Canis lupus familiaris: one gene and its partners. Each later gene encodes a partner of the first gene's protein in a complex. Links are inferred from orthologs where the notes say so. Each region holds a gene or a part of one and is shown in the gene's direction. Other genes may lie near its edges. The genes, in order: MED13, MED16, MED25, MED23, CDK8, MED20 and MED12.

Region 1 (3,599 bases):
TAAAGTTGTGTAACCTGTAGACAGACTCTTGAGGTTTATCAGCTTAGTGCTTCCTTAAACATTGACACATCTAGGCATGTTACACTGAAAAAGTAGATAACTTTAAATGACTTTTATGTAAATTCTTTTAGGATTATTATGTGATCTTAAAAATAGAGCTAAAGAAAATAAAGTAAGATTGAATATAAGCTATGCACTTGAAAATTACTTCTGTAAGCAAGAACAAGAAGCATCTTTATAGTGGTGCCCATTCATCACATAGGTCTAAAATGTATTTCATCAAGGACGAGACCGTGGGAAAATAAGGTAAAACCAACAACTTTTCCATTTGGCTGACTGATTACCTGTTTTTTTAGGCCTCTTTGCACCTCCACGTGCCTTCAGTGCAATCTGACGAGCTGCTTCACAGTAAACACTCCCACCCACTTGACTCAAATCAGACTTCAGATGTCCTCAGGTATAAATCTTTTTACCACTAAAGGTTCTTCATTGTATCTTTGAAAGAATATAATATTAGGGCACTGGGTGGCTCAGATGGTTAAGCGTCTGCCTATGGCTCAGGTCATGATCCTGGCGCCCTGGGATCAAGACCCATGTCAGGCTCCCTATTCACCAAGAGGTGTGCTTCTCCTTCTCCCTCTGCCCCTCCTCCCTGCTTGTGTTCTCTCTCTCTCTCTCTCTCTCTCATAAATAATTTTTTTAAAAAAAGAAAGAATGGGGATGCCTGGGTGGCTCGGCGGTTGAGCATCTGCCTTTGGCCCAGGGCATGATCCTGGAGTCCCAGGATCGAGTCCCACATCAGGCTCCCTGCATGAAGCCTGCTTCTCTCTCTGCCTGTATCTCTGCCTCTCTCTTTGTGTCTCTCATGAATAAATAAAAGAGAAAAGACGTTTTGGTTTTTTTTAAAAGAAAGAATGTACTGATCCTTTTGTATTCTCACATTTGGCAGTAATTTACAGTTGTGTACCCTTGGATCTCTAGATGAATTAGGTCATTTAGAATGAGTCCTTTCTAGCATGTGTAATCTACTTTTGAAAGTACTTTTTATGAAAATTAGTCTTTAATCTCCCCAAGGACTCTATTCCATACTTTCCACCATTTTTTTTAAGTGACTTTGAATCTTAGATGCCATCATTGGGAACTGCTTCCATAATCTACAGTGAAAGTAAATACATGACTTCTACTTTTCAGGTTTGTTTTGGAACAGTACAATGCACTCTCCTGGCTAACCTGTGACCCTGCAATCCAGGACAGACGCTCATGTCTCCCAATTCATTTTGTGGTGCTGAATCAGTTATATAACTTTATCATGAATATGCTGTGATCTTCATTCGACAGAACTGTGCAAGAAAAGAACAAGGAAAAAAGATATTTCGCTGCAAGATTGAGTTATCTTCTCAGTGAAAGTCATCTGTGATGGGGTCTAATACTTATTACTTCAACAAATATTGTTTTGACTTGGGGGGAGGGGCTATAACCCTGATATTTTTCATTGACTATACTGAACTCTTTAGGATGATGACTGATCATACAAAACGTATTATAACATTTTCGTAGCAAAATTAACCTTTTTTTTCCAGTCACAGTATTTGTGAAAAGTAATGAGCCATAGTACCCAGTCATGTTAAATGAATATTAAAAGCATGGAGAGGAAACATGAGGAACAATGAATTTCAACATATGGCTTCAGAACATCAAGATGTTCTTGTATTGGATTATAGTATCTAGTATTCAAAAATGCCTGCATCTCTTATTTATTGTAAGTTTTTAAATGTATAAATTGTCTTATATTTCTTAACCTCTTTTATAAAAATTTTCCTAGAAGGTTTATACTGCCTTCTTGCTTTAAAGCAATTGGTCTAAAATATATGTAATCGTCTTAATTAAAAAGTTGCAGTAGGGTTGCTTTTAGAGTATTATTTTTTTGTAAGGGGGTGGGTGGGACAGTAAATTTGTATTGTCTCAATGTACAGTTTAATGGGGATAGAGGGGGAATAATGTCCATACCATTGTGTGTGGAGGATTTACAGCTAAGCTGTAGTTGCAGAGTACATGTACAGTAATGAAGTTCACTGTGTTTATAAATTGAAAAGGTACCGGGTCTTACAGCATTTTATATATCACACCTTTACAGAATAACATGATGGCAATATACAAGTGATATTGTTGGGTGGTTTAACTTAGAATAAAATGAGAATTCTTCAGTTATATTTTGTACTATGGTTTAGGGCTATGACTAATATTTCAGGCCATTTCCAGTGAAAGAAACTTAGTTTTACAAGAAAAACATTTGCTACTGAATGCTTAAACTAATTTTGGTGTTTAATGTTACATGCTTAAATGTTTTTTTTTTTTTTTTCCAGTTTTGACAGTGGCACATCTAGGCATGGGAATATTATTAATTATGAAAATTATCTTCAGGATCTGCTATGAGGTTGAAATTTAGCCCAGCTCTAGGCATTTTACAAATTATTTTAAGAACAGTCACTCTGATTGTTTGACTTTTTTGTTGTTGTTTTTTAAATTAAAGATTGGGAATGTGTGTGAGAGTATGCATATGTATGGGTGTGTGTGTGCAATCAGACTGTGGTGTATATAGATTCTCAGTGAATTCTGGTATTCAGACTCTATTCCACTAGTTAAAGAATCATTTTCTAAACTTAACCTGTTTCCTTTTGCCTTTTTTATTTATTTAATTTTCTTGGTTTGGAGATGGCAGTCCCAAACACCAGAGTCTGTACTTTTCTATAACACAGCTCAGATTAAGGCAGGGCATATGCCAAGGAGGTTCTCACCTCCCTAAAGAAGGGACTTGAATTTTAGGGACTTTAATTCACCCCTTCCTTCAATACAGCTTTCCCCCTTCTTGTTTGCACATGCCAAGAAAAATGCTTTTATGCAGGCTTTACCCCCTTAAAATGTTTCTACAGTGCTGCTCACAAGAGAGTCCAAGTTAGCCTCCTACCTATATTGCTGACTTGAATTCACAGTCACCAAGTCTACCTATCTTTCTTGGAAGCAGTCTAGCAAAATTCCGAATTTGTACAGTCACTAATTCTCCACAAGGACAAAATCAGTTGTATTTACAAAACTGTAATTCGGTATGTTTTGTTTTGTTTTTACTGAAACTTGTTTTGTAAATACTATATGCTTAGCTTAAATATCACTTTCTTATGAACAATATAACTTCTTCAAATTGTGTATATTAAACATTAGCAAGTCTTGTTTTTTCTATAAAGAACACACAACTGGTGACAAAGGTTTTCAATCACTTCTTCAAAATTATAATGCAATTCCAATGGTCAGCATTTTTGACATTAAAATTTAAAGATCACATCTCTGCATTCATTTTTAAATTATGCTAGCACACTACAGATTATGTTGGCATGTTTTGTTCTGTACTTTAAAAAACTTGTCTGAGATTTGAGGGAAAGATGCTTATTTGGAATTTCTATAAAAAGTATTCTTTTTTATATACTTAGCTCAGTAGTGACTTTTAAAAATAAAAGCTATATTCTCAGTTGTTTAATATCACTAGCTTATTGTAACCACACCTCAGTTTGAAAATAGATTTTTAAAAAATTATTCCCTGACAGTTT
Region 2 (3,599 bases), on another chromosome or scaffold:
TTTGGTGAGAAATTTTCCCGCGTCAAATTCTCGCCATCCCTCACGCTGTTTGGCGGCAAGCCTATGGAGGGCTGGATCGCCGTGACCGTCAGCGGCCTGGTCACCGTGTCCCTGCTCAAGCCCAGCGGGCAGGTGCTAACGTCAACGGAGAGTCTGTGCCGGCTGCGCGGCCGTGTGGCCCTGGCTGACATCGCCTTCACGGGTGGTGGCAACATCGTGGTGGCCACTGCGGACGGCAGCAGCGCCTCCCCCGTGCAGTTCTACAAGGTGTGCGTGAGCGTGGTCAGCGAGAAGTGCCGCATCGACACCGAGATCCTCCCGTCGCTCTTCATGCGCTGCACCACGGACCTCAACCGCAAGGACAAGTTCCCCGCCATCACCCACCTCAAGTTCCTGGCCCGCGACATGTCGGAGCAGGTGCGCCCTACTGGGGGGCGCTCCCCCGGCTGCAGCAGCTCCACACGCTTGTCATCTTGAGTTGGGTCAGGAGTCTGATGCAGGCCTCATGATGCTAAAACCCAGGCGTGGACGGGGCCGGTCACCCCTCGTCTTCCCCGAGGCCCCAGGGAGACCCCCTCCTGCCCTCCACCTTCCAGGGGTGCCCCCTTCCCAGCCTGCAGCCCCTCCTCCGTCCTCACCACCAGCAGTGCAGGGTCTGCCCATCTCTGGGGCTTCCCCCCCTCCTCCCTTTCGGGGGGACCTGGTGAAGATGCTGGGCCCCAAGGCCTACGGGGTCCCGGGACTTAGGGACATCTTTGGGGTCATTTTTGGTGGTCACCCAGGACTCCAGCATAACCACGTGTCAGTAAGGCCCCCAACTTCATGGAGCCCTGGTAGTTTCCTCAGCTCCCACTGCGATCCGCGGGTGACGTCTCCATTCCAGCTCCGCCGTCCCCTGCACCCCAGGTGCTCCTGTGTGCGTCCAGCCAGACAAGCAGCATCGTGGAGTGTTGGTCCTTGCGGAAGGAGGGGCTGCCTGTGAACAACGTGTTCCAGCAGATCTCACCCGTGGGTGAGTCTCCCCGTTCCCGGGGGCGCTGGGCTTCCAGAGCAGGAGCTGTCCCGAGTAGCTGCACAACGTCGGTCCCCCTCCTCGTACGTGCTCTGCGGCCGCTTGTCCCGTCCCGGAGAGCCTGTGGTCCTGAGGCTCAGAGACGCGAGTGCTGCCCGCCGTCCCACAGGAGAGTGGCCTGCCTCACCCTGACCCTCCTGGGGGAGCATGTGGCTGCTTGAGAGAACAGCAGTGCAGAGGTCCTGGGGCAGAGGCCAGGAGCCAGTGCGGCCCAGCCCGGCGGGGGCAGGGCACAAACCGGCATCGCAGCAGGGCTGGGGGTACACGCGGCCCCCTGGCTGCAGGGGGTGCTCAACCCTAAAAACCAGAGAGTCCTCCACAAACTCTGGTTTATGGTCAGGGCCCGACTGAGCGTGTCTTCAGCTCATGCATGGGCTCGCCTCCCCCTCCCCTGTCCCGCATCCGTGTGAAACCCCCCGCTCTAGACACCGACCCCCCCATGGCCCCCGGGACGTGCTGGCCCAGCCTGACCGCTCATGAAGCCCCTGGACGCCCCCAACCCCAGAGCTGAGAGCGGATGAAGCCTCCCGTGGGTGGGAGCCCGGCTCTGTGCCGATGGGCCTAGTGGGCCGTGCAGGAGGGGGCGACCGCCGAGGAAGCTGTCGAGGCCCCGCGGCTCCTGTCCCCTGCCGTGCGGGGCAACTAATGAGCGTGAAGAGGTTCCCGGCTCCCCTCCCACAGAGCCCCCTCCTCCGTGAGCTTGGTGGTGGCGCGTGACTGCTGTGGTGGGCAGGGCCATGGGGTGCAGCCCCCGCCCCCAGCACACAGGGCACCCGGCCCCAGGGCCAGCCTGGCCACATAGCGTTGGTGCCACATGGAGGTGCAAGTGGCTCTGGGTGGCCTGGCCCACTCGTGCTCCCTGGACATCGCTGTGGCTACCGTTAAGCTCTAGCCTCCAGGTGGGACAGAGTCACGCTCTGTGGCCTGAGGCATCTCGGTGCTCTCTGACCTCAGTTTCCCCTGGGGGACAGCGCTTGCCGGGACTCCCTCCCTGGGCTGGCAGAGGGTTATAGTGGTGACATGCCGTCAGGGCCCAGCTCTCGAGGTGGAGGGGTCGGGGAGCTGTGATGGTCAGCTGTCCCCAAGCGACAAGCCTGCCCGACTCTGGCTCGGAACCGCAGCTCCAGGCTGTCCTGGGAGGGGCTGCCTCACTGCCGGGCGGCTGGCCTGCCTGCTGTCAGCTGCCGGGCGCCTCGTCGCCCCCCACCACGCAAGTGTCCGTGGGCTTGCCCGGGCGCATCCCAGCGCGTGTGCACCGTGAGTCTGCTCATGTCACATTTGCCCACAGCCACTGGCCACGCCTGGGTTCATGGAAACCACTCCAGCAGTTGGAGGGGGTCCTCGCCATGAGGACCACATGTGGTGCCAGGCATCCACGTGTGGCCCCAGCCTTACCAGGCTGGCAGGGTCTGGGGGTGCCGCCCTCGTCGGGGCCCCGGGTCCAGTGGGGGCACGGCAGCCTCGCCCCCCGGGCAGGGGTGCACCCCACTGGGGTCTCATCCTGCTCTGTTTCTTGTCTGCCCCCCGTTTTCAGTTGGCGACAAACAGCCCATGATTCTGAAGTGGCGGATCCTGTCCGCCACCAACGACCTGGACCGCGTGTCTGCCGTGGCGCTGCCTAAGCTGCCCATCTCGCTCACCAACACTGACCTGAAGGTGGCCAGCGACACCCAGTTCTACCCCGGCCTCGGTACGGCCGCCCGGGACGCCCCCTCTCCCCCGGGCAGCCCCTCCCTGCCGTCAGGGCTGGGCAGGCACCCGAGCTGCTGCCGGCGCCCCCGGCCCTCCGCACGCCTGAGCCGCACGCATCCCGCCCGCAGGGCTGGCCCTGGCCTTTCACGACGGCAGCGTCCACATCGTGCACCGGCTGTCGCTGCAGAGCATGGCTGTCTTCTACAGCTCAGCGGCCCCACGCGCCGCGGACGAGCCGGCCATCAAGCGCCCACGGACCGCCGGCCCCGCCGTCCACTTCAAGGCCATGCAGCTCTCCTGGACCTCTCTGGCCCTGGTCGGCATCGACAACCACGGGAAGGTAAGCTCAGAAGCCACCTGCCTGGGCGGGTCCTGCTGCTTGCGGCCCGAGGCTCCTCACCTCTGCCCCCCGGGGTCACACAGGACAGCTCTGGCCTGTCATGTGCACGTAGCAGGTGCTCAGTACGCAGGAGCCGTGAGGACGGGGGCTCTCCACCACGTCCACTTGCTAGAATTGAACAGGTGCCGCACGTGAGCCTTCTGCGGGTGCGCGGTGCGCGTCCTTGCTGCCGCCGGACCCTGGCCTGGGCCCTGCCGACCGGCGAGCTGGGCACGCTCCCCCCCTCATCCCCGTGCGGCCCGGCCCCCGCCTCCCACACGGACTCTGGACCAACTCGGCTCTGAGTCGCTTTTCTTCGAGACCCGTACCTGCCTCTGGGTCCCGTCTGCCCCGTCCTGGGCGTGTCCCCATGGTGTCCTAGTGTCCATGAGGCCGGCCAGCCCACAGGCCTCTCCTCGCGGTAGGAGCCGTGCTCCTGCAGAGCAGGGGCTGTGT
Region 3 (4,292 bases), on another chromosome or scaffold:
GGTGGCCCAGTTGGTTAAGCGTCTGCCTTCTGCTTGGCTCAGGATACCAGGGTCCTGGGATTGGGCCTTGTGTAGTCAGTCAGTCTCCCTGCTCAGTGGGGAGCCTGCTTCTCCCTCTCCTCCCTGCTCCTGCTCTCTCTTGCTATCTCTGTCACTATCTCAATCCGTCTCTCTCAAATAAAGTCTTTAAAAAGAATAAAAATAATAAAAGACTTCAGCAAAGAAAATTAAAGCAAAAAGGGACGGATAAGGTAAATGTGACAAAATGGTGATATAACTGTATGCAAGAGGAATGCACCCTTTTATCTTGAAGTACATTACCAAACGGCAGGAGGGCAAGTTATGCTGATTTACAGCCCCTTCTAGACTATGTCTGAGCCCAAACTCCCCCGACTTCATTGGCATCATTCTTTCCGATATTAATTAGCACGACAAAAGCAAAATGCTTTTTAATTGGTGAAGATAAGCAATTTTCAGGGGTTTAATTGCCATTTTAAATTGTTTTGTATGGGAGAAGAGAGAGCCTTCATACCAGTAAAAAAAAAAAAAAGTATTTCTCTTTTCCTACGTTTTTATTGATGAGTAAGTTATATTTATGTAGTAAAATTTCAGTCAATACATGTTACAAACGACTTTCCCAGTTTATCATATTTTTTTTTCAACTTGGCTTATGGAGCCTTTTGAACAAATTGATCAATATTTTACGTTTCCTGGCTTTGCTATGATGATAAACTCTTTTCCCAGTCTTCAGGATTATGCGGTGTGTTCCTTTCTTCCTTCAGCTATTTTTAAGGTTTCATTTGTTGCATTTACATTTTTAATCCACCTGGAATGTATTTATGTTCTAGGCTAGTTTCTGGCCGCTCTCCCAGAAAACAACAATCAGGTGTTGCCTAGCAACCGCCACTTGGGTTGGAATTGGGCTTCTTTGAGAGGGAAGAACAGCTGCACTCCCCTCCGAGTGGCCGGCAACCCCAAGCGTTGCCTAGTAGCGCCATTTCAGAGGATGTGATTGGACCCTTCACACGACCCTCCCCCCATCTCTCCGCGGCAGAAAAAAATTAACCAGAAACCTAATCTCGCCGATAGAAAACTAGGGCAGCGTATGCGTTGCATAGCAACCAGGTCTCCGGCCCCTCCCATTGAAACCAGAGGCGGAGCGGGCGCCTCGCTCAAAGATGGCGGCCGACTACGGCTCTCTCCATGTATGTCACTCTCCACAGTCCTGACAATGACCCAATCTTCCCCGTCAGGCCCCTGAAGGGGTTCGCTATGCTCTTAATCTTGCACGCGGCGGGTACCTACGAGGATGGAGATAGAACCAGCGCGCCCTGCGTGCCCCGCACAAACATGGCCGCGGGCGCGCCGAGCCGCGGCGCTAAGACGTCCCGCGCCGGGGGGCGCGCAGCGCAGGCGCACTTCCGCTCTTTCCACAGCGGCTGCGGCGGCCGCGGCGGTGGCGGCGGTGGCGGCTGCTGCGCGGGGCATGGTCCCCGGGTCGGAGGGCCCGGCCCGCGCCGGGGGCCTCGTGGCTGACGTGGTGTTTGTGATCGAGGGTACAGCCAACCTGGGGCCTTACTTCGAAGGGTTGCGCAAGCACTACCTGCTTCCGGCCATCGAGTGAGTGCCGTTTCCCCGACTTCCAGCCCGGCCCTCCGACTTTAGTTTTCCACAGTCTCTTGCCTGACCCCGACCTTTTACCTCCGACCCTCGCAGGTATTTTAATGGTGGTCCTCCTGCCGAGACGGACTTCGGAGGAGACGTGAGTCTTGGGACTCCTGAGTCTGTAGAAGGAGGGAGGCGGGGACCGGACTCCTGAGTCTGAGGAAGGAGGAGCCCGGGGACCGGACTCCAGGGTCCGAGGGGCGGAGGGGGCCGGGGATGGACTCCAGAGTCTGAGTGGGGAGGAGTCCAGGACCGGACTCCTGAGTCGGAGGGCGGAAGAGCTGGACGGGAGTTCCAGATGAAAAGTTCCTCCCTCCTCCTCTCCCAGTATGGGGGTACCCAGTACAGCCTCGTGGTGTTCAACACGGTGGACTGCGCTCCCGAGTCCTACGTACAGTGTCACGCTCCCACCAGCAGCGCCTATGAGTTTGTCACCTGGCTCGATGGCATTAAGTGAGCATTTTCTTGTGTTAGGGGGTGGGTTGGGGGACCCTGTGAGGGACCATGAACGGATGGCGGCTTGACTTGAGTTTCAGGAACCGTCGCTCACACTGGGTGGCTGAAAGGACTGAGAGGGATTGTTTTTGTCCATAAGTCACTTCTGTGGTGGGTTCCGTGTGCTCAGCGTTTTTGCCCTCCGATGTGGAAGTAGAAAAATCTTCTCAGTTTGGGAGGCCTGTTGAGCTCCAGCTCCGATCTCGTACTGTGTGGTTCTCCGCATTTGGTCGGCTGTTCCTCATCTCCACCGTAGTATTCCTATTTCACATGGGCCTCTTGAAGCCTGAGTGCAAGGGGGGCGTGGGGCCTAGGCCAGGATAGATCTCTCTGTGCTCTGAATGGGATTTGGAATGTTCACATTGCAGGCTCCCGCGGGTACAGATAGCCTGTGGTCATATCACAGCTAAACCATCAAACTCCCAGACCCAAGAGTCCCTGCTCCCTTTGTGCCTAATGTAGTTTATCTCTTGTCGCTTTATTTATTTTTTTTAAGATTTTATTTATTTATTTATGAGAGACACAGAGAGAGATGCAGAGACATAGGCAGAGGGAGAAGCAGGCTCCCTGCAAGGAGCCCAATGCGGGACTCGATCCTGGACCCCAGGATCATGCCCTGAGTCAAAGGCAGATGCTCAACCACTGAGCTACCCAGGCGTCCCTATCTCCTGTCTCTTTAAAGGGGGGGATTAACATTATAGTACTTGTGTTAATTATTTATTGTGTTATTTATTCTTTGTTGTGTAACACATTATCCCAAAACTTAGTTGCTCAAAACAATAAACGTTGATTATCTCATGCCATTTCTGTAAGTAAGGAATTCAGGACTGGCCTAGCTGGATAGTTCTGGCTCAGGGCCTCATGAGGTTGCAGTCATGCAAGGGACCAATTTGTTTTCAAGGTAGCTCACTCTGTGGCTGGGGGAATGTTCTCCTGACGTGGCAGCTGGCTTATTTCAGACGAAGCAACACAACAGAGAGGGCAAAGAGGAAGCTACAAGAGTTTTTATGATCGAGTTTTAGAAGCCACACAGCGTTGTCTCTGCCACATTCTGTTTGGTAGAGAAGTCAGTCCTGTTCAGTGCAGGGAGCATGAGGGGAGGTGAATCTCAAGGGTGTGAATAACAGGAGGTGGGGATTGTTGGGGGTGGGGGGTGCTAGCTACCATGACTTCATAGGCATAGGCATTCTTTGGGAATTGAATGAGTTAGTTGGCTACTACTTAAAACAGCACCTGACATGTATTAAGTGCTATGTTAGTGTTCACTGTTGTTTCATGCCTGTTTCTTGGTTTGTGAATAGATAATGGTAGTTCAAATGTCCATGCTCTCTGGAGGATCACAGGAACTAATTTTCCTATGGTGCCTTCATACTGCCTAGCCCAGGTCTGGTCTGTGGTTAGAGTTCATGAAACGGCACTGGTTCATGATGGCTCTTCTCTTCATTCGTTTGTACGGCAAGAGTTTGCTACTTAGCAAACTGAGTGCCTGCTCTGTTCCAGGCTATGTGTGTGCAGGACTAGGTGCTGCACGCCCACTGGGAAGTTGACACCCAAGTTTGACCCCTCATGGCCATTAGAACTAGTAGTCAGGACAGAGTAGGATTTCCCAACCTCAGTACTGTTGACACTTTGGGCCAAATAATTCATTATTGTGGGGGATTGTCCACATGGCAGGATGTTCAGTAGCCTCCCTGGCCTCTAGCCACCAGGTGCCAAGAGCCACCTCCAAGTTGTGACCAACAAAAACGTCTACAGATGATTGTCAGCTGTCCCCTGAGGCAGGGGGTAGGGAAGGACAAAATCCACCCCAAATGAGAAGTACCGAGATAGGTTGTTTTAAGACATGAATAATGGTAAGACGGGACTCCCTGATGCCCAAGTTCAAGTCTGATGTCTAAGTCCCTAGCGCCAAGCACAAGGTCTGGCACCAGGGCGGTCTAAGGAGAACTGGGTGGAATGAGGGAATATGTGAGTGAATGCCCAGAATGCATTTTATATATATATATATAAATTTTTTTTTTAAGATTTTACTTATTTATTTGAGAGGGAGACAGAGTGTGGCAGAGGGAGAGGGAGAAGCAGACTCCCCTCTGAGCAGAGAGCCTGAAGCCGAAACCTGGGCTCAATCCCAG
Region 4 (4,393 bases), on another chromosome or scaffold:
GGAGCTTGATGTGGGACTCCCAGGATCATGCCCAGGGCAGAAAGCAGATGCTCAACCGCTGAGCCACCCAGGCCTCCCCGTGTTTACCATTTTTATACTCCAATACTACAAATGTGTGAGAGTTCCAATTGTTATGATAATATCATATTGTTTCAATTGCTGTAGCTTATTAGCAAGTCTCAAAGTAGAATAGCTTAAGTTCTCCAATTTTTTTTCAAGCTTATTTTGGCTATTCTAAATCCTTTGTATTTCCATATAAATTTTATTTATGTATTTTTTAATAATACATTTACTTTTTATTGGTGTTCAATTTGCCAACATACAGAATAACACCCAGTGCTCATCCCATCAAGTGCTCCATATAAATTTTAGAATCAGCTTGTCTATTTGACCAAAAAATGCTGGAATTTTTATTGGGATTAAATTTAATCTATAGAGTAATCTGGGGATAATTGCTATGTAAATCATATTGAGTCTATATATATATATAGAGAGAGAGAGAGAGGAAACAGAGTGGAAGCATGGAAATCTGCCAACTGAAAACTCTTACAAGTCTACCTGACTAAAGATAGTCCAAAATAAGATAATATGTTTAGCATACAAAAAAGAATAATAGATTGTTACGCTGCTTAGATTTTAATAATTCTGGCCCTGTCATCCTTCTAGCTTGGACATCCTACAAAATTGATTCCTGCAATATGGTTCATTAAGTATACCTAATATTGTGGCTAGTGCTGAGCAAAGAGTGAACAAATATTTCATAAATGAAGTACTGTACTACTTATGCACAAAGGTGTTACATGAGGATAAAGAAGAGACCCTACATCAGCTTGAGCGAGGAGGGCAGGCATCCAGGAAAGAGTCAAACTAGTGCTTGGAAGAACACAGCGGTGGAGGGGCACACCCCACAGCGCACTTAGCCACGGCTCTGACACTGCAGATGGATCAGCCTTCCTATCTACCAAGGTTTCTCCACTTCTACCCTCACCAAAGAAGCTCTAGGTATTCAGAAATTGATAAATATTATTTTAGATGATTATAACTAAAACGGCAGACATAATTATTTTATTATTCTAATTAAAATTCAGTAATAATGCATTCATTTTTTTTTACCCCCCGACCTTTATGTTAAAAGCTTGCTATGTGTCAGGCACTGTGCAAGGCACTGGGGTTACCATACTTGAGAAGACACGGTCCCTGTCGTCAAGAAAAGTGTGGTTTCGACTCTTGGCTCCAGAAGATCAGCAGCTCTCACAGACAACAGGTTGACCTAGGTTGCAGGTGGAGCCCTTCTCCCTGGCTGCCATTCCCCGGGCTTCAAGCTTCTTTCCTTGCCAGTAGGCAGAAGCATCAGCCTGGAGCAGGAAGGAACTCCCGTTCCAGCCGGGAGGTGGCGGCCTGCAGCCGACGACGCCTCAGGGTGACTTGGGGTCAAGGCTCCACTTGGTGGCAGTCTCGTCTGGCTCGGCTGGCCGCCCTTCTCCCCCGGCGGAACCAACTAGCTGGGGGCCTGGTTTCCGCAGGGTTGCTAATCCACACGCACCCGACGCTTCCCAGCTTCCGTGCAAGCGCCGCGGTTTGCTGGACGGGGACGGGGGTCCACTCGGCCGAGCGCTTCAGAGAAAAGAAAGCTTACCCCGCCAGCTGAAGTTTCTTGCGGGCTTCCGCCCCTCGGCCGGTCAATTCCCGGAGCTTGGGCCTCACCGGGCCGCGCGCCCAGCGTCCAGGACGAGCCGGGGCGATGGTGCAGATGGAGACGCAACTGCAGAGCATTTTTGAGGATGTGGTGGTGAGTGGAGCCGCCGGGCGCCGGGGCGGCGTCTGGGGGAGGGAGGGGCACCCAGCAGCCGCCCCGGCCAGCGCCCCCCACCTCTCCTGTTGTGGCCTCTCGTACGTCTGCAGGGGTCTAGCGCGTCCCAGCATGCTGTCAGATTCAGTCTGCACTGAAATCCCCAGCACCCTTTGTGACAGGCCCGGCCGGGGGGGGGGGGGGGGGGGGGCGGGGGTATTTTGTGCGTGTGGCGGGTCAAGGTGACTTGTCCTGTGTTACACTGTAATGTCGTCTTAGGGGCGTCCCCCCCTTTTTTTATTTTTATTTTTTTTACTTTTTTACACCGCTTATTTTTCTTTTTTTACAGAAAACGGAAATTATAGAAGAGGCTTTTCCTGGGTGAGTGTATACGTATATGCATGGCAGATTTTTGTGTTTTTACTTGAGTGTCTTTGGAAGATGTGACTCAGGTTTGCCTTGGAGGCACGCGAGATCTGTAAGATTCTGGTTATGTTGAATTAATTCCCCCTCAAGAACTAGTAGCAAATCTGTGATTTTTGCTTTTTAGAATGTTCATGGACACCCCTGAAGATGAAAAGACAAAACTAATTAGCTGTCTGGGAGCCTTCAGACAGTTTTGGGGTGGTCTTTCTCAGGTGAGCACTGCATTTTTTTACTACATCCAGGTCATGATTTTTGATGCCTCCTTTTTTACACTACTTTGATGTTGCTGCTAAGGTTCTTTTGGAAAGGGAGACATTAGTGTCATCATTTGTTATATGTGTATTCTGGTTTCCATTTGTTTCATTTTGTATTCTTCCAGTGGAGAACCAGTATTAAGAAATCAAACTGATGATGGCACATTGTGAGACACCTATAAAAATCTCCCCCATGTTAGATTATATAAAACACTTCATCCTACTCTGATTTATTTGGTACATGTGGAAACAGCTCTGGTAGCAATTGTAAAAGATACAAATTTCATTCATTTATTCAACAGAAGGAACTAGCAAAACATTGATACAGAGATGCTATGATTAAAGATACCATAGTAAGGGGATCCCTGGGTGGCTCAGTGGCTTAGCATCTGCCTTCCGCCCAGGGCGTGATCCTGGACCCAGGATCAAGTTCCACATCCGGCTCCCGGAGTGGAGCCTGCTTCTCCCTTTGCCTGTGTCTCTGCCCCCGCCCCCCCCCCCCCCCCCGCCCGTGTGTTTCTCATGAATAAATAAATAAAATCTTTAAAAAATAAATAAATAAAGATACCATAGTAAAGATAACAAAGATGCCACAATAAGGATACTATAATAAAGATACACAGATCTTCTAAGAAAAATGAGGAAAGGAGCAGTAGAACTTAGTAACAAAGAACAGTCACCAGAAAATGTATCCATGAAAAAGACAAAATGTGTGATCCTTAAAGAGCTGGTGTTCCAGGAATGTATTATCTTCTGATGCTGCATTATTGGTAGGAAAATGAGAACTGTTTATATTTGACCACTGGTGGTAAGACTTACTTCCCAAACATGGGGTTACATAGGCATAAATCTTGTGGGTTTTGTTTTTTTTATATAAGATTTTGTTTATTTATTCATGAGAGACGCAGAGAGAGAGAGGGAGGCAGAGACACAGGCAGAGGGAGAAGCAGGCTCCGTGCAGGGAGCCCGTTGGAGAACTACATCCCAGAACTCTGGGATCACGCCCTGAGCCAAAGGCACATGCTCCACCACTGAGCCACCCAGGCGTCCCTTAAATCTTGTTTTAATTGTCTTCGAATAGGTAATCTATTCATATGGCTCCAAATGCAAAAAGTACCAAAAAGGGGACCCAATGAATAGTCTGCCTTCCATCTCTCTTAGCTTACACCTGCTCTTTTTCGTATCAGTAGCTGGTATTCTCAGTTTGTTGCCTTCTGGAGGTATTTTACACATATAGGATCAACTTTTATAGAACATTCACATAATGTGTTCACTGTTCATTAGCCCTTTTCCTCTTACTATTAAAATCTGAAAATAATTCCACGTCAATCCATTGAACGTTATTTCTGCCTTTCTTTTTTACAGCAACATAATCTATTATATGATTGCACCTTCCTTTAACCAGTCCCCTGGTTTTTCTTAACTACTCCAGTTTAGGTTATTTAGGTTACTTCTTAACTACTCCACTTTAAACAATACTACAATGGACAATATTGTGCACAGGACACTGAATAAATTCCTGGAAGTAGTATTGCTGGGTTAGAGGGTATGTCTACTTAAAATTTTTATAGAAATTTCCTGATAGCTTTCCATAAGAGTTATACCAATTTGTACTCCTCTAGGAATGTGTAAAAGTATCTGTTCCCTAGGGCCTCACAGTAGGTTGTTAATAAATTTTTTTGATGTTTGCTGATCTAAAATGAGAAATTCTATCTCATTATGGTTTGTTTTGTACTTCTTTGGTGTTGAACATGCTTTCAGCATATTTTAATAATTCGTTAAACAATTTATGAATTAAGGATGACCCTTGTTTTTCAGAAATTTGTATTCTAATAGAGGAGCCAGAAAAAAAATAGATCTTTCTAAATCGGCATTATACATTCCAATAGAAGTGTGTATGAGGCACAGTGGTAGTGCAGAGAAG
Region 5 (3,599 bases), on another chromosome or scaffold:
AATATCGCTTTAAGGATAGCTACACCACTTACGTTTCATCTGCCTTTACATAGTTTTCTTTAGAATTTTTCATAGCTAACCAGAATGTGTTGTTATGGTGTCTTTTGGGTGCTAGGAGTAGAGTTTTAAACATGCAAACTGACCCATAGGCTCAGTTTTGAGAGCCTTTTGGGTGCTAGGAGTAGAGTTTTAAACATGCAAACTGACCCATAGGCTCTCTTTGTGATGCTCCTTAGCTTACCTTTTAAGTAAGATTATCATAAGTCAAGTTATCATATGGGGTACATATGTAAAAAGAATAATCACAAAATAATTTTTCTGTTACTAAAAACAAAATAGTTTGGCTTGTATCTCTTGATACTTTTCCATATGATGGTATTGGCTAACTTGGTTCTCTGATGTGGGAGAAAACTGATATGCAAACACAATGTCCTTTTTAAAAATCACTTGCTTGTGGTCAGGGTGTTTAATCTTACTAAAAAGATTACTGCCTTGTTAGTATGAAATAGAAATGTGATAATTTTACATTAAAGATCTATATTCCAATTTTAGGGTTTAGGAATTCTGAGTTATTTTATAAATTAACATTTTTTTCTCATTTTCTATGTATGTGACAGTTATTAATAGACCTGGGTAATTGGCTTTAATAAAATAGTGGTTTTTATTTTTCCCTCTATAGTTATTTGTATTTACCACAGGTTTTGGTTAGATCAGTCAAAACACACTCACATTCATTGAATCTCTGCTGTGTGCACACCATTGTACTTAGTGTAGAGAAGTTAACTTTGTTGGTTTAGGACTTTGTTAAAGTAGAAACTGAGTAATTTCAGTTTTAAATTCTAAAGTGGCATGTAGATCTTTCCTCTGTTAATAACAGTTCTATTGAGTAAAAGTTTAATATGAATGAAAATTAGCTTAAATCTTAAAGTGAATGAAAGCAGTTTGTTGCACTACAGAGGAATCCATTTGCCTGGCTTTTTATAAGTAAGTCTAGTAAATTTGTACCCTTTCCACCTGTCTTAAGGTAGGATTTTGTTCCCTGTTTTCTTGTCCTTATTAAATTGCAAAATCTGACACTATCGTATCATAAAGAAATACATTGAAGGAAAAACTGTTCAAGTAGAAATGCAGTTTGATTAGGTGAGGCATTGTCTTTCTCCTATTGGAATAACACCTTGCTAATTAGTGCTAGCATGAGGGGATAATTATTAGACTTCACAAATTAGCATGTACATAAACTAAAGAAAAATATTTCTACCTTAAAAAATTGGTGCTGATTGTTTTTGGCAAGTATACGCAATTTCAAAGGCTATTTGGGTTTTCTGTTTTGGTTTTATTTTTTGTTTAATTTTGTTTGTTTGTGGTTCCTATGCTCCATATGCAACTTTGTGTGTATTTCATAGATAAGGTATGTTTGAAGCATTTAAAAATTGCCAAAAATTTAGCTAATAAATTTGATTTGAACTTGGAATGAAGCCACTGGGTATAATGGAGATGTAATAGGGAATGAAAAATTGGGGTGGGTTGGGTGGGAATATATATTTACAAATAATATTCCATGATATTTTAATTATAATTGCTTTAGAAATTAATATGACTTATTAGGAAAAGAAAAGAAAGAAAAAACACTCCCCACCAAGATAAAAATGCATTTTCTTTTGGAAAGAACCACTTTATTTTCCTCCTTTCTTTTTCTTTTTTCCTTTCCTTTTTTTTCTTTTCTTTTTTTTTTTTTTCTTTTTGTTTTAAAGATATTTGGGCTATAGGGTGTATATTTGCAGAACTACTAACGTCAGAACCAATATTTCACTGTCGACAAGAGGACATCAAAACTAGTAATCCTTATCACCATGACCAGCTGGACAGAATATTCAATGTAATGGGATTTCCTGCAGGTACACATTATGTTTTTGTTTTTGTTTTTAAATCACTGTTGTTTGAACCTAGATATCTTCATTGGAAAGGTGTATATCTTTAGCTGATGGAAGCTACTCTTACTCAATTCTTTATATTTATGACTTGCATTAATCAAAGATCCTTAGGAATAGCAAAATTTATAGAGTTCACATATTAACATAAAGATATCTATGGGTTTTCTGAATTTGAGGAGTATATTTTTGTTTCATTTTATTTTTTGTTTTGTTTTGTTTAATATTTGAAATGATAAAATATTTACGATCTCTGTATTAAAAGGTGCCTTTAATTCTTACAAAAGGAAACTAAATAAAATTCAGTAGTACGTATTTCTGTCTGGCAACACATATAATAATGCCAATATTTGGGATTTGAATACAAATTTTTAACATTTTTTATATTTAGGGCACTGTACAGAATCACATTATATTGAATAATAGAAGTTTTTTATCCTATAACCCTTGCTGGTAAGAACATTCTTTTAAGTGTTCTGTTAGAACAGCAACCTTGCCTGTACTGATTGGCAGCAGGGAGAAAGTTATTTAGGTGTCTCATCATAGGCGTTAGACCTCTCCAACTATATCCCCGTCCCTTGTTATGCCATAGCATGGTAGTTCATCAGTCACCAAAACTCTCCCCAGAAGTCTAGAATAATGAAAATGGCTAGCCAGGTATTTATTAGAAATTGTTTCTTATTAGGAATTATTCTCAGGTCAGAATAACTCTAGACTAATACAGAAATACTTGGGAGTTATAATTTCACATTCCCTTATAGGAGTGTTAACACAGATACTACCTTTGTGCAGAATTGGTCAATGGGCCTGTGAAGACTACTTTATTGTGATTAATTTTATTTGTTCACTGAATATTTGAGGACCTGCCATCATGTGCCAGGCACTGTGTTATGCATAAAATAATGTTGATATAACAGGCATGATTCTTGCCTTCTTGGAGTTTATATTGTACTGCTCTAAATAGAAATGTTTAAATAATAGCTATGGTTTGAGTAGATGGAGAAGAATGACCTTTTCTTTCCACTTCTGAATGTGTCCACCATTTCTAAGGCCCAGGGGAAAGGAACATGGTTTACAAGGGGATGGAAGAGGGGGTGACCTCTGTAGGGATGATTCTTAATGTGTAGTTCAACAGTTAGGGGAGGCTTAGCTTATAAGAAATTTGAAAAGCAGACAGTAGGGTTTAGATTTAATGTGCAGAAGAATGAGAATCCATGATAAGTTCTTGAGAACTAGTGACATGGTTTGTTATATTTTAGATTACTATGGTAATGGTAGGTACAAATCGATTAAAGAGAGGTAACTGAAGTCAGGGAAGCCAGCTGTTTGCCTGTATAACAGTACTCCAGGTGTAAAGTGATAAATGAGATGGAGATAAAGGACAAATAGGGACTTTTTTTTTAATAGGAAGTATATAATTGAGGGAAAAGTAAAAGATTGCTCAATCTAGCTTGAAAAATGTCTAGCTTGAGAAATTGACAAAATAGAGAAATTGGAGCAAGGAAATAATTAAGGAGAAAGCCCCATCGAGGAGTTTAAAGTATATATTCAGTTGACTTTACAGTGTGATATCTTTGGGGGAGAGGTAGCACATATTTGTATAAGTAAGTCGAAGGCAAACCTCTAAAGGCCATTTAAAGGCTAGTGGTGTGGTTAATTAAGCTACGTGTT
Region 6 (4,384 bases), on another chromosome or scaffold:
TCAACACTTACACCCTAAAAAATTAAAAAAAAAAAAGACCATCTTTTTATTAGTCTCTCTCCCTCTTTATAGCACCTAAACAATATCGTTCATTCTGCTTAGAGCTCTCTCTCCACTAGTTTTCAGCACCAAAGTCATGTAACCTAGGAACCCTGACCCCCAAAACTAATGCTCTTGTTTTAAGATGAAACTATACTTAAAAAAAAAAAAAAAGATTTTCATTTATTTATTTACAAGAAACACACAGAGAGAGGCAGAGGCATAGGCAGAGGGAGAAGCAGGCTCCCCGCTGGGATCCCGACGCGGGACTCCATCCCAGGACCCCGCGATCCTGCCCAGAGCCCAAGGCAGATGCTCAACCACTGAGACACCCAGGTGTCCCAAAACTATACTTTCATCATGAAATGTATTATTCGAATCGTCAATTTAATTGTCTCTCAGGTTAGACTGTAAGATCTTGAAGTCAGGGTCATGGCTATCTTGCTTCCTTTTTTACTCAAAACCATCTAAACTCCTACCTAGCACAGTGCAAAGTACGGACTAGACAACCTACAAGAATGTACAGAACAGATGGATAAACGTTAGGAGTGCTCAATAGTGTGACCAATTAACTTCTTGTTGGTCTAACTTAGAGACTGCCTAGACGCAAGCATCTAAAGCAACAAGTGGGCATAGAGAGCTCTGACCACCCTGAATCTATTCCAGGGCTGGGTCTCCCATTTCATCACCTTTGCAAGGGTGTGATGCGGACTCCTTATTCAATTTCACTTTTTTTATTCCAAAGGATTCCCCTGGCAGAACCTTTTGGCCGTCTATCTACTTCCCCCTCCCTCCAAAACTAACCACCCTCTTCCTGGCACCCCCCTCCCCCACTTACCCAGACGCGTGGTGCGCTCGCGCGGGGCTGCGGCCTTGTTCCCAGTCCCATGCTCGGTCTCGAGTTCCTCCTGTTGCTGCCGCGCTTGCTGCAAAATCCGTCGGGTCAGCCGGGGCCCCACATACTCTTCGTCCTCCTCTCTGGTCCCACGACCCCGCCGCTTCTCCCGGGGCCCTGCCCGCGCCGCGTCCCCAGCCAGGATTTGCTCAGCCAGCGGCGCATGTTTTTCCTGGCCTGCAGCTCCGCGAGCCGGCTTGAATTTGGGCATTTTTTTCCAGAACTCTGCCAGAAAGGTTTACACGTGGGGTACAGACGAGGAAAAAAAAAAAAAAAAGCCTTGAGCGCACTTGCGCCGTGAAGTCCCAGCTCCCAAGAGGCCCCCGCGGAGCTCACAGCGCCTCCCGGCGTCCGGAGGCCGGGAAGGCCATCAGCGCCGCCACACCCCGTAAGAGCGGGGCCTGGAGCCAGCCGGTCCCCGAATGAACTCACTGCTTCTAACGCTGGCTTCTGCAAGTGGTGGCAGTCCGAGCGGTGGTTTTCTACTTTCATAGATCGAGGACCTCTGTTCCCAGCCAAACGTGGACTTGCCTAGCTGCAAAGCCGGGGCCAGAGTTGGGTAGTGACGTCACTGGAGGCGTCACCGAGGAGATGCCTAGACCTGCCCCTGTTCCTCGTGGGCGCGTCGACTGGACGCTCTCCTTTTGCGTCATTTCCGGAGCACCTCCCTCGGCCGAAGCTTTCGTTAGGGGTCTTCACTTAGTGTGGGCGGCCAGAGACTACTGTGATCCGATTGTTTGTTCCTGCCATCCTCCTGGCCCGATACCATGGGAGTGACTTGGTAGGCCCGCAGGGGACTTTTTTGGGCGGCGCTCGGGGTCGGGAAGGGCCCCGGAGCCCGGAGTGTACCGGGAGGAGGGCCGGGACCAGGGACCGCGGTCCCCCATGAGCTGATGAAGATAAGATATCTTCGGAACGTGTGGGTGATGGAGACGCTGCGAGGGCTGCAGATTCTCCGCGCTTGTTTGCTCGGAGACACTTCCCTTCGTCCTGAAAGGCGGCAGGTGAAAGGTTTTGTCCCAGGAGCCCATCAGTGGTTGTGTTCCTCCTTCCCAGGAGGCCATAGGGCTGCCCGAGGTGGAAATTAAGGATGCCCGAACTAGGACCCAATCTACAGGCGTAGCTAGAGGAGGTAAAGGATAGGCAACGAGGAAACCGTCTTTTTTTAAAGATTTTCTCCTGCCCCTCCCTACAGCCACTTAATGCAGTTAGACCGGCCCGTGTCTGGTTCTGGTGCGGCCGTCTTAAGATTTTCGGTCTAGAGGGAAAAAAAAAAAAAAAATAAGCAGCAGCAGCTGTTGGGAGGTAGATTGGGGTTTAGGCACGTCACCTCTTCAGAATTCGTTTCCTACTATGTTTAATTGTATGGTTGGTGTAACTAATTACTATGGACTTTTAATCTCTCAACATGATATAAGTGGGGTGGCAGAGAAAGGTATGGGCCTAATGCTCTTGGAGAAAATGCTAGATTTTAGGGATTGTTTTGTTTTGAGTACCGGTAAGTATTAGCACGTTTCTAGTTAGGGCTGGAGCCTGTGGGAACCACTCTTTTTTTAAAAAAAAATTTTAATTTATTTATGATAGTCACACACACACACAGAGAGAGAGAGAGAGAGAGAGGCAGAGAGAGGCAGAGAGACATAGGCAGAGGGAGAAGCAGGCTCCATGCGGGGAGCCCGACGTGGGATTCGATCCTGGGTCTCCAGGATTGCACCCTGGGCCAAAGGCAGGCGCTAAACTGCTGCACCACCCAGGGATCCCTGGAGCTAGTCTTTCTGATAGCTCAGGTTCTTGTAGGCTTGTCGGTTACTGCACCTGTGTTTTCTGCAATGGATATTTTAAGCCTTTTCTAAGTTTTCTAGTGTAAGGGAGTGTATGAGGGTTGGAAGGAAAAGCTTGCAGCATAGAGGCTTGGAACCTGAAAGCCCCTGTTCTTTCAGCAGAAGACAGAAAGATGGAATGGGCCCTCAGTCTGTTGGGACCCTTAGCAAGTATATCACACTCCTGGTATTTCGGACCCGTGTAACGTCAGTTTAGATATTCTCTTATGTTTGTCAGTAAAGGCACGTTATCCATTGCTTCTGAGTTCATCTTCTGATGGAGAGTAGGGACAATTTTTAGCAACAGCAGTAGTCCCTCCTTTCCTCCCTCCCTCTGTGGTTGATTGATCATAAAGTAATGTCTTTGAGAATTCAGTAATATGTATGGTTTTTGTTTAGTTAAGTGTACCACCTGAAGTATTTATGAATTTTTTTTTTTTTGAATCTGTTTAGTTTTCTTAGAAGCATTTTAACCGGCAACTACTTGTTTAGGGAAGCAATCTAGTATAGTGAATAAGAACACAGACATGGAACCAGCATGCCTGGCTTTGAATCTTGGCTATACCACACCAAGCTATGTGACTTTGTGCAAGTTACTCAACCTCTTTGTTCTTCAGTTTCCTTACTTATTACAAGGAGATAAATAATAGTCATCTTCTAGGGCCGTTGTGAGGATCCAAATAGTTTATTTGTCTAAAGGCCTTTTGGACACTGCCTGGCACGTGGTTGGTGCTTAATGATTGTTACCTACTACTATTTTTTTTTTTTAAGATTTTATTTATTCATGAGAGACAGAGAAAGAGAGAGAGAGAGAGAGAGAGGCAGAGACACAGAGGGAGAAGCAGGCTCCATGTAGGGAGCCCGACTCGGGACTCGATCCCAGGTGTCCGGATCAGGTCTCGGGTTGAAGGCAGTGCTAAACTGCCGAGCCACCCGGGCTGCCCGTTACCTACTACTCTTAAGGGGAGGTCGGTTTCACTTACCATAGAAGGAATCTTGGAAATAACATTTTTATCTCATTGTTTTGATTTTATTTTTGTACATATCGTTGCCTCTGACTCCTAAAGATTACAGACTTGAGGCTTGCTTTCTCTTTGATCCTAGGGCTGTTGAATAGAATTTTCCATATTGGCGGAAATGTTCCATAACATCACTGTCCAATATACTAGCCTCTGGTCACATGTGGCTATTGAGCCTTTGAAATGGGGTAGTGCAGCTGAGCAGTTGAAGTTTTAATTTAACTTGTTTTATTAGTTTAAGTGTAAATAGCCACATGTGGTTTGTGGCTACTGTACTGGACAACACACCTTCAAAATGTTAGAGAATTGGTAAAAACATACTAACCTCAAACAGATTTTCCTAATTTAGGCAGAACTGAAGGAATTGCAAAGGACATCAGTGTTATGGATTACTCTGTGTGCCACCTAAAACTGCTTGAATGTTGGCACACGTGTCCTGGTTGGAAAATGCTGCTGTGATAGGAAGTTCACTAAGTTGGTAGGAGTGTCCTGAGACCTGTGTTCTAGTTCTTAGTGGAGCTGTTAGGAACTGTGAGCCTCTTATTTCCTCATCTTTAAAATGAGAGAGACGTTCAGGATACATGGTCTCTAAGATAACTCCTGGCCCTGAG
Region 7 (3,599 bases), on another chromosome or scaffold:
AGTCATTGCAATAGTCAAGAGACAGAGTCCCACAGAGTGGAGGCCTACTGCTTTGAATTGGCCCCCTCTCTGCAGGCTGAGTCGAGATGTCTTGTCTGCTTTGTCCTCCAGGTCAGTGACCTGTCTTTTCATGACTCTCTGGCTACTTTTGTTGCCATCCTCATCGCTCGGCAATGTCTGCTCCTTGAGGATCTGATTCGCTGTGCTGCCATCCCTTCACTCCTTAATGCCGGTGAACCACCAGTCCGTAACCCTTAGAATTTCTGGATCCCAAGTTTGACTACACACTCCATGGCCACACCCTCACTGTTGAGTGTGGGGCTCCCCGCTATCACCAGAGGCCAGTTGTGTGATGGGCCTCGGGCCCAGAGCGGCCTCTTTCTAACGCTGTGTTGACTGCCCTGATCCTTCCCTGTTGTGACCCTCCTAAGGGACCCCCCCCCATCACACTGCAAGACAGCTGACTGCTCTGTCTCTCCTCCCCCATTATCTTGTTATTTCTCCTTTTGCCTGACTTCGCCTTCCCTTCTAGCCCCTTGCCACCCACAAACCCACGGACAGTCCACTTTTGCCCTGTCCAATTTGCTTTGTTTTCCTTTTTTTTTTTTTTTTGCAGCCTGCAGTGAGCAGGACTCTGAGCCAGGGGCCCGGCTGACCTGCCGCATCCTCCTCCACCTTTTCAAGACGCCTCAACTCAATCCTTGCCAGTCAGATGGAAGTAAGTGACCCTGATCTGGGCCTAGCCAGCAGTAGAAAGTGTGGCTGCTCCCCCCCCCCCCCGCCCCACCCACTGCCTGCACCCCACTGGATCTACTTTTGCTTCTCATGACTTGGGCTCCCTCTCCAGACAAGCCTACAGTAGGAATCCGTTCCTCCTGTGACCGCCACCTGCTGGCTGCCTCCCAGAACCGCATCGTGGATGGAGCTGTGTTTGCTGTTCTCAAGGCAGTATTTGTACTTGGTATGGGGGTAGGAAGGGAGTGGTGCCAGAAGTGTGTGTGGGGTGGAGTGCCAGCTAAACTACAAAGGAAAGTCTTTCTCCCTCCTGAAGGTGGTCTCTCTGACCTTTGGGGAGGAGAGGAGGGAGGGAAGTATATTTCTGTCCCATAGGGCAGGATTTGGGGGAGTTGCTGCTTCTGTGGGTCTGGGGTGGGTCTCTACACCGTGTTCAGATCTCACTCTGCCCTCCCTATCTCCCGCCCGTGAACCACAGGGGATGCGGAACTGAAGGGTTCAGGCTTCACTGTGACAGGAGGAACAGAAGAACTTCCAGAGGAGGAGGGAGGAGGTGGCAGTGGCGGTCGGAGGCAGGGTGGCCGCAACATCTCTGTGGAGACAGCCAGTCTGGATGTCTATGCCAAGTACGTGCTGCGCAGCATCTGCCAACAGGTCAGTCTCACCTTCCCCCCATGCATCCCAAATGCCTTTATATAATAATGTCCTGTTTCCAGCCCTGATCATGCCACCTTCCTACTATACATCACGTCTCTCATCAACCCCCAGCCCATCTCCCCCTTATTCCTTACCCCCACTCACTGTTTGCCCCAGTGCCCTGGTTATCTACTTCCTCAGGAATGGGTAGGAGAGCGTTGCCTTAAATCATTGTGTGAGGATAGCAATGACCTGCAAGACCCAGTGTTGAGTAGTGCCCAGGCCCAGCGCCTCATGCAGCTCATCTGCTACCCACATCGGTTGCTGGACAACGAGGACGGGGAAAACCCCCAGCGGCAGCGCATTAAGCGTATTCTGCAGGTAGGCCAAGGTGGTGAGGGTCTTAGAGGAAGCAGTGGGGCCCAGGCCCTGGGTGAAACAATGGGGACCCTGAGGGAAAAAGAGGGGGTTAGTCAAGTAGGAAGACTGAACAAGGATGTGGGCAAAAGGTGGTCAGAGCAACAGCCCCCATGTGGGTTTTGAAGTCAGGCCAGTGCAGTCCAGACCCTAGAGCCAACTGCTGGATGAGGGCATGGCTATCTGGGACTGTAGCTTATCAGTGAGAGGCGGCACAACATCTGCTAAGCCTTGTTTAAGGCCTTGCTTGTTTGGTGTTTGCTCACAGCTCAGTAACGAACAGCAGTAGTACTTCATAGCTCTTGATTACCAAGTGTCAGCTTCATGCCGAGTATTGTGCTCAGCACTCTATGTCCATCTTCTCATTTAATCTGTCCCAACCCCCAGAAAGTAGGTAGGAGTGGCCAAGTTTGACCAAGGAGGAAACCAAGGCTTGAAGAGTTTATTAAGTAATTAGCCCAAGGTCACACAGCTAGTTTAGAGTCAGGGTGCGAGCCCAGGTGGGCCTGTGCCCCTTCCACTTTGCCATGCTGCTTCAGGCATTCAGGTAACTGAAGGGTGGAGAAATAAAGCTGTTAAAAGAGCTACAGGAATGAGTCTCTTCAGCCCAGAGGAGATAATGTTAAAGAGAGATTAACTCACATTAGCCCTTGGGTCTGTAAAGGACTTTGAACAGCTGGTTTAAAACAGCCTGCAACTTTAACATCAAAGATTTAGGGTAAGTGCTAAGCAGAACTTACCCATGTGGAGGAATGTGAAGCTCTGGAATAGGAGACAGGGGAAAGATGGGAAATCTTTCCAGAACCGTTTTTAAAATAGGCTAGATTTTTCAACGATTTTGGATCATTTTGGTGTAGTCTTTCCTAAAGATGGGGACGTGGAAGTTCCTTTCAGACCTGTAGGCATATGTGTTTCAAGGTTGTGAGAGATCAGGAGGTGGCTTAGTCAGGGTGGGGGGTAAGTGGCTGGAAATGGAGAGGGGGGACAGGATGATGATGAGCTTAGGGGTGGCGTCTCCATCACAGAACTTGGACCAGTGGACCATGCGCCAGTCTTCCTTGGAGCTGCAGCTCATGATCAAGCAGACCCCTAACAATGTGAGTTGGCACCTGGCCCTCTCTGTCCCATGCTCACTTCCAGCTCCATGTGTCAGGGGTGTGGGCTACCATAGAAGAACCTGTGTCCTATGGAACTTCAGGTTCTTGAGCTGAGAAAGAGAGGGTGGGAAGATGGCAAACGCATGGGGCTGATGAGTAGGGGGAAATGGGTCAGGAATGTTGGGGCTCGGTGGTGTGGGGGAAGATTGGCGATGGTGGTGGTGGGAGGCAGTTTCTCTGGTCACAACTGTAAGGAGGCATGTGAGGAGAAGACAGTGGGGGAATTGGAGAAATAGGGAGGCTCTGGAGGGCAGGCTCTCAGCAGAGTTGTGTCTTTCCCTCTCATTACCTTCCAGATGCCTTTCTCCGCCCTCATCTCCCATCTTTCCTGCCGTCTGTTTTCCTTCCTATCACAGTTACCTATTGAGCACCTCTGTGCCTTTCATCCTCCCCAGGAGATGAACTCCCTCTTAGAGAACATCGCCAAGGCCACAATCGAGGTTTTCCAACAGTCAGCAGAGACAGGGTCATCTTCTGGAAGCACCACAAGCAACATGCCCAGCAGCAGCAAAACAAAGCCAGTGCTCAGGTTGGGTAGAAATGCATTCAGACCCCTCCCCTTATGACTTGTTCTCTCATAGTGTAAATGATTTCAGTCTCACAGAGATACTAGGCCTGTCCATTGGGCAGGGAGAGCATGGCTTGTTCTACCCT

The links.
Region 2: MED13 (region 1) and MED16 share a complex: the UniProt entries of both Homo sapiens proteins name them as parts of the mediator complex. The link is inferred for Canis lupus familiaris from reciprocal best matches to the Homo sapiens genes MED13 and MED16.
Region 3: MED13 (region 1) and MED25 share a complex: the UniProt entries of both Homo sapiens proteins name them as parts of the mediator complex. The link is inferred for Canis lupus familiaris from reciprocal best matches to the Homo sapiens genes MED13 and MED25.
Region 4: MED13 (region 1) and MED23 share a complex: the UniProt entries of both Homo sapiens proteins name them as parts of the mediator complex. The link is inferred for Canis lupus familiaris from reciprocal best matches to the Homo sapiens genes MED13 and MED23.
Region 5: the proteins of MED13 (region 1) and CDK8 are in contact, whole or in part, in a cryo-EM structure (PDB 8TQC), measured with the Homo sapiens proteins. The link is inferred for Canis lupus familiaris from reciprocal best matches to the Homo sapiens genes MED13 and CDK8. Residues at the interface, in NP_005112.2 of Homo sapiens: Thr1616, Met1617, Asp1618, Arg1619, Lys1621, Val1622, Gly1623, Ile1624, Pro1625, Thr1626, Asp1627, Gly1628, Asp1629, Ser1630, Val1732, Lys1733, Thr1734, Leu1735, Thr1736, Gly1737, Phe1738; in NP_001251.1 of Homo sapiens: Leu9, Glu12, Arg13, Arg71, Lys74, His75, Pro76, Leu81, Gln82, Lys83, Val84, Tyr133, Asp137, His140, Tyr141, Met330, Gln331, Phe335, Leu336, Leu340, Pro341, Thr342, Ser343, Asp344.
Region 6: MED13 (region 1) and MED20 share a complex: the UniProt entries of both Homo sapiens proteins name them as parts of the mediator complex. The link is inferred for Canis lupus familiaris from reciprocal best matches to the Homo sapiens genes MED13 and MED20.
Region 7: the proteins of MED13 (region 1) and MED12 are in contact, whole or in part, in a cryo-EM structure (PDB 8TQC), measured with the Homo sapiens proteins. The link is inferred for Canis lupus familiaris from reciprocal best matches to the Homo sapiens genes MED13 and MED12. Residues at the interface, in NP_005112.2 of Homo sapiens: Ser157, Glu158, Thr336, Val337, Pro339, Gln340, Ser341, Gln343, Lys344, Trp345, Lys347, Phe348, Asp1186, Ile1189, Leu1190, Gln1193, Asp1194, Pro1332, Ile1333, Thr1335, Leu1337, Tyr1340, Asp1341, Tyr1342, Asp1343, Tyr1344, Leu1345, Val1346, Leu1347, Ser1348; in NP_005111.2 of Homo sapiens: Ala3, Phe4, Arg12, Pro13, Arg16, Leu86, Thr123, Thr127, Thr150, Pro152, Val153, Met154, Arg155, Phe242, Pro278, Leu281, Arg282, Arg356, Pro357, Phe360, Gly361, Cys364, Gln367, Thr368, Cys372, Pro407, Glu408, Phe413, Val417, Lys1526.

What each region holds. Positions count from the first base shown.
Region 1 is NC_049230.1:34,701,964-34,705,562, forward strand, and holds part of MED13 (mediator of RNA polymerase II transcription subunit 13), read left to right. Parts: intron 1-356; coding exon 357-457; intron 458-1,191; coding exon 1,192-1,324; 3' UTR 1,325-3,599. UniProt on the Homo sapiens protein: Component of the Mediator complex, a coactivator involved in the regulated transcription of nearly all RNA polymerase II-dependent genes.
Region 2 is NC_049241.1:58,254,289-58,257,887, forward strand, and holds part of MED16 (mediator of RNA polymerase II transcription subunit 16), read left to right. Parts: coding exon 1-417; intron 418-906; coding exon 907-1,012; intron 1,013-2,606; coding exon 2,607-2,762; intron 2,763-2,892; coding exon 2,893-3,104; intron 3,105-3,599. UniProt on the Homo sapiens protein: Component of the Mediator complex, a coactivator involved in the regulated transcription of nearly all RNA polymerase II-dependent genes.
Region 3 is NC_049222.1:107,412,705-107,416,996, reverse strand, and holds the start of MED25 (mediator of RNA polymerase II transcription subunit 25), read left to right. Parts: upstream 1-1,429; 5' UTR 1,430-1,486; coding exon 1,487-1,620; intron 1,621-1,716; coding exon 1,717-1,762; intron 1,763-1,993; coding exon 1,994-2,118; intron 2,119-4,292. UniProt on the Homo sapiens protein: Component of the Mediator complex, a coactivator involved in the regulated transcription of nearly all RNA polymerase II-dependent genes.
Region 4 is NC_049233.1:336,035-340,427, forward strand, and holds the start of MED23 (mediator of RNA polymerase II transcription subunit 23), read left to right. Parts: upstream 1-1,529; 5' UTR 1,530-1,636; coding exon of another isoform or gene 1,637-1,741; coding exon 1,742-1,789; coding exon of another isoform or gene 1,790-1,923; exon of another isoform or gene 1,924-1,926; intron 1,927-2,138; coding exon 2,139-2,170; intron 2,171-2,339; coding exon 2,340-2,427; intron 2,428-4,393. Other genes in the region: ENPP3 (ectonucleotide pyrophosphatase/phosphodiesterase family member 3), read right to left, coding at 1,637-1,923. UniProt on the Homo sapiens protein: Required for transcriptional activation subsequent to the assembly of the pre-initiation complex. Component of the Mediator complex, a coactivator involved in the regulated transcription of nearly all RNA polymerase II-dependent genes.
Region 5 is NC_049246.1:13,130,754-13,134,352, reverse strand, and holds part of CDK8 (cyclin-dependent kinase 8), read left to right. Parts: intron 1-1,751; coding exon 1,752-1,895; intron 1,896-3,599.
Region 6 is NC_049233.1:10,766,648-10,771,031, reverse strand, and holds the start of MED20 (mediator of RNA polymerase II transcription subunit 20), read left to right. Parts: upstream 1-1,562; 5' UTR 1,563-1,701; coding exon 1,702-1,715; intron 1,716-4,384. Other genes in the region: BYSL (bystin), read right to left, coding at 878-1,145. UniProt on the Homo sapiens protein: Component of the Mediator complex, a coactivator involved in the regulated transcription of nearly all RNA polymerase II-dependent genes.
Region 7 is NC_049260.1:55,693,247-55,696,845, forward strand, and holds part of MED12 (mediator of RNA polymerase II transcription subunit 12), read left to right. Parts: intron 1-111; coding exon 112-232; intron 233-616; coding exon 617-718; intron 719-847; coding exon 848-961; intron 962-1,213; coding exon 1,214-1,389; intron 1,390-1,572; coding exon 1,573-1,752; intron 1,753-2,813; coding exon 2,814-2,885; intron 2,886-3,340; coding exon 3,341-3,474; intron 3,475-3,599. UniProt on the Homo sapiens protein: Component of the Mediator complex, a coactivator involved in the regulated transcription of nearly all RNA polymerase II-dependent genes.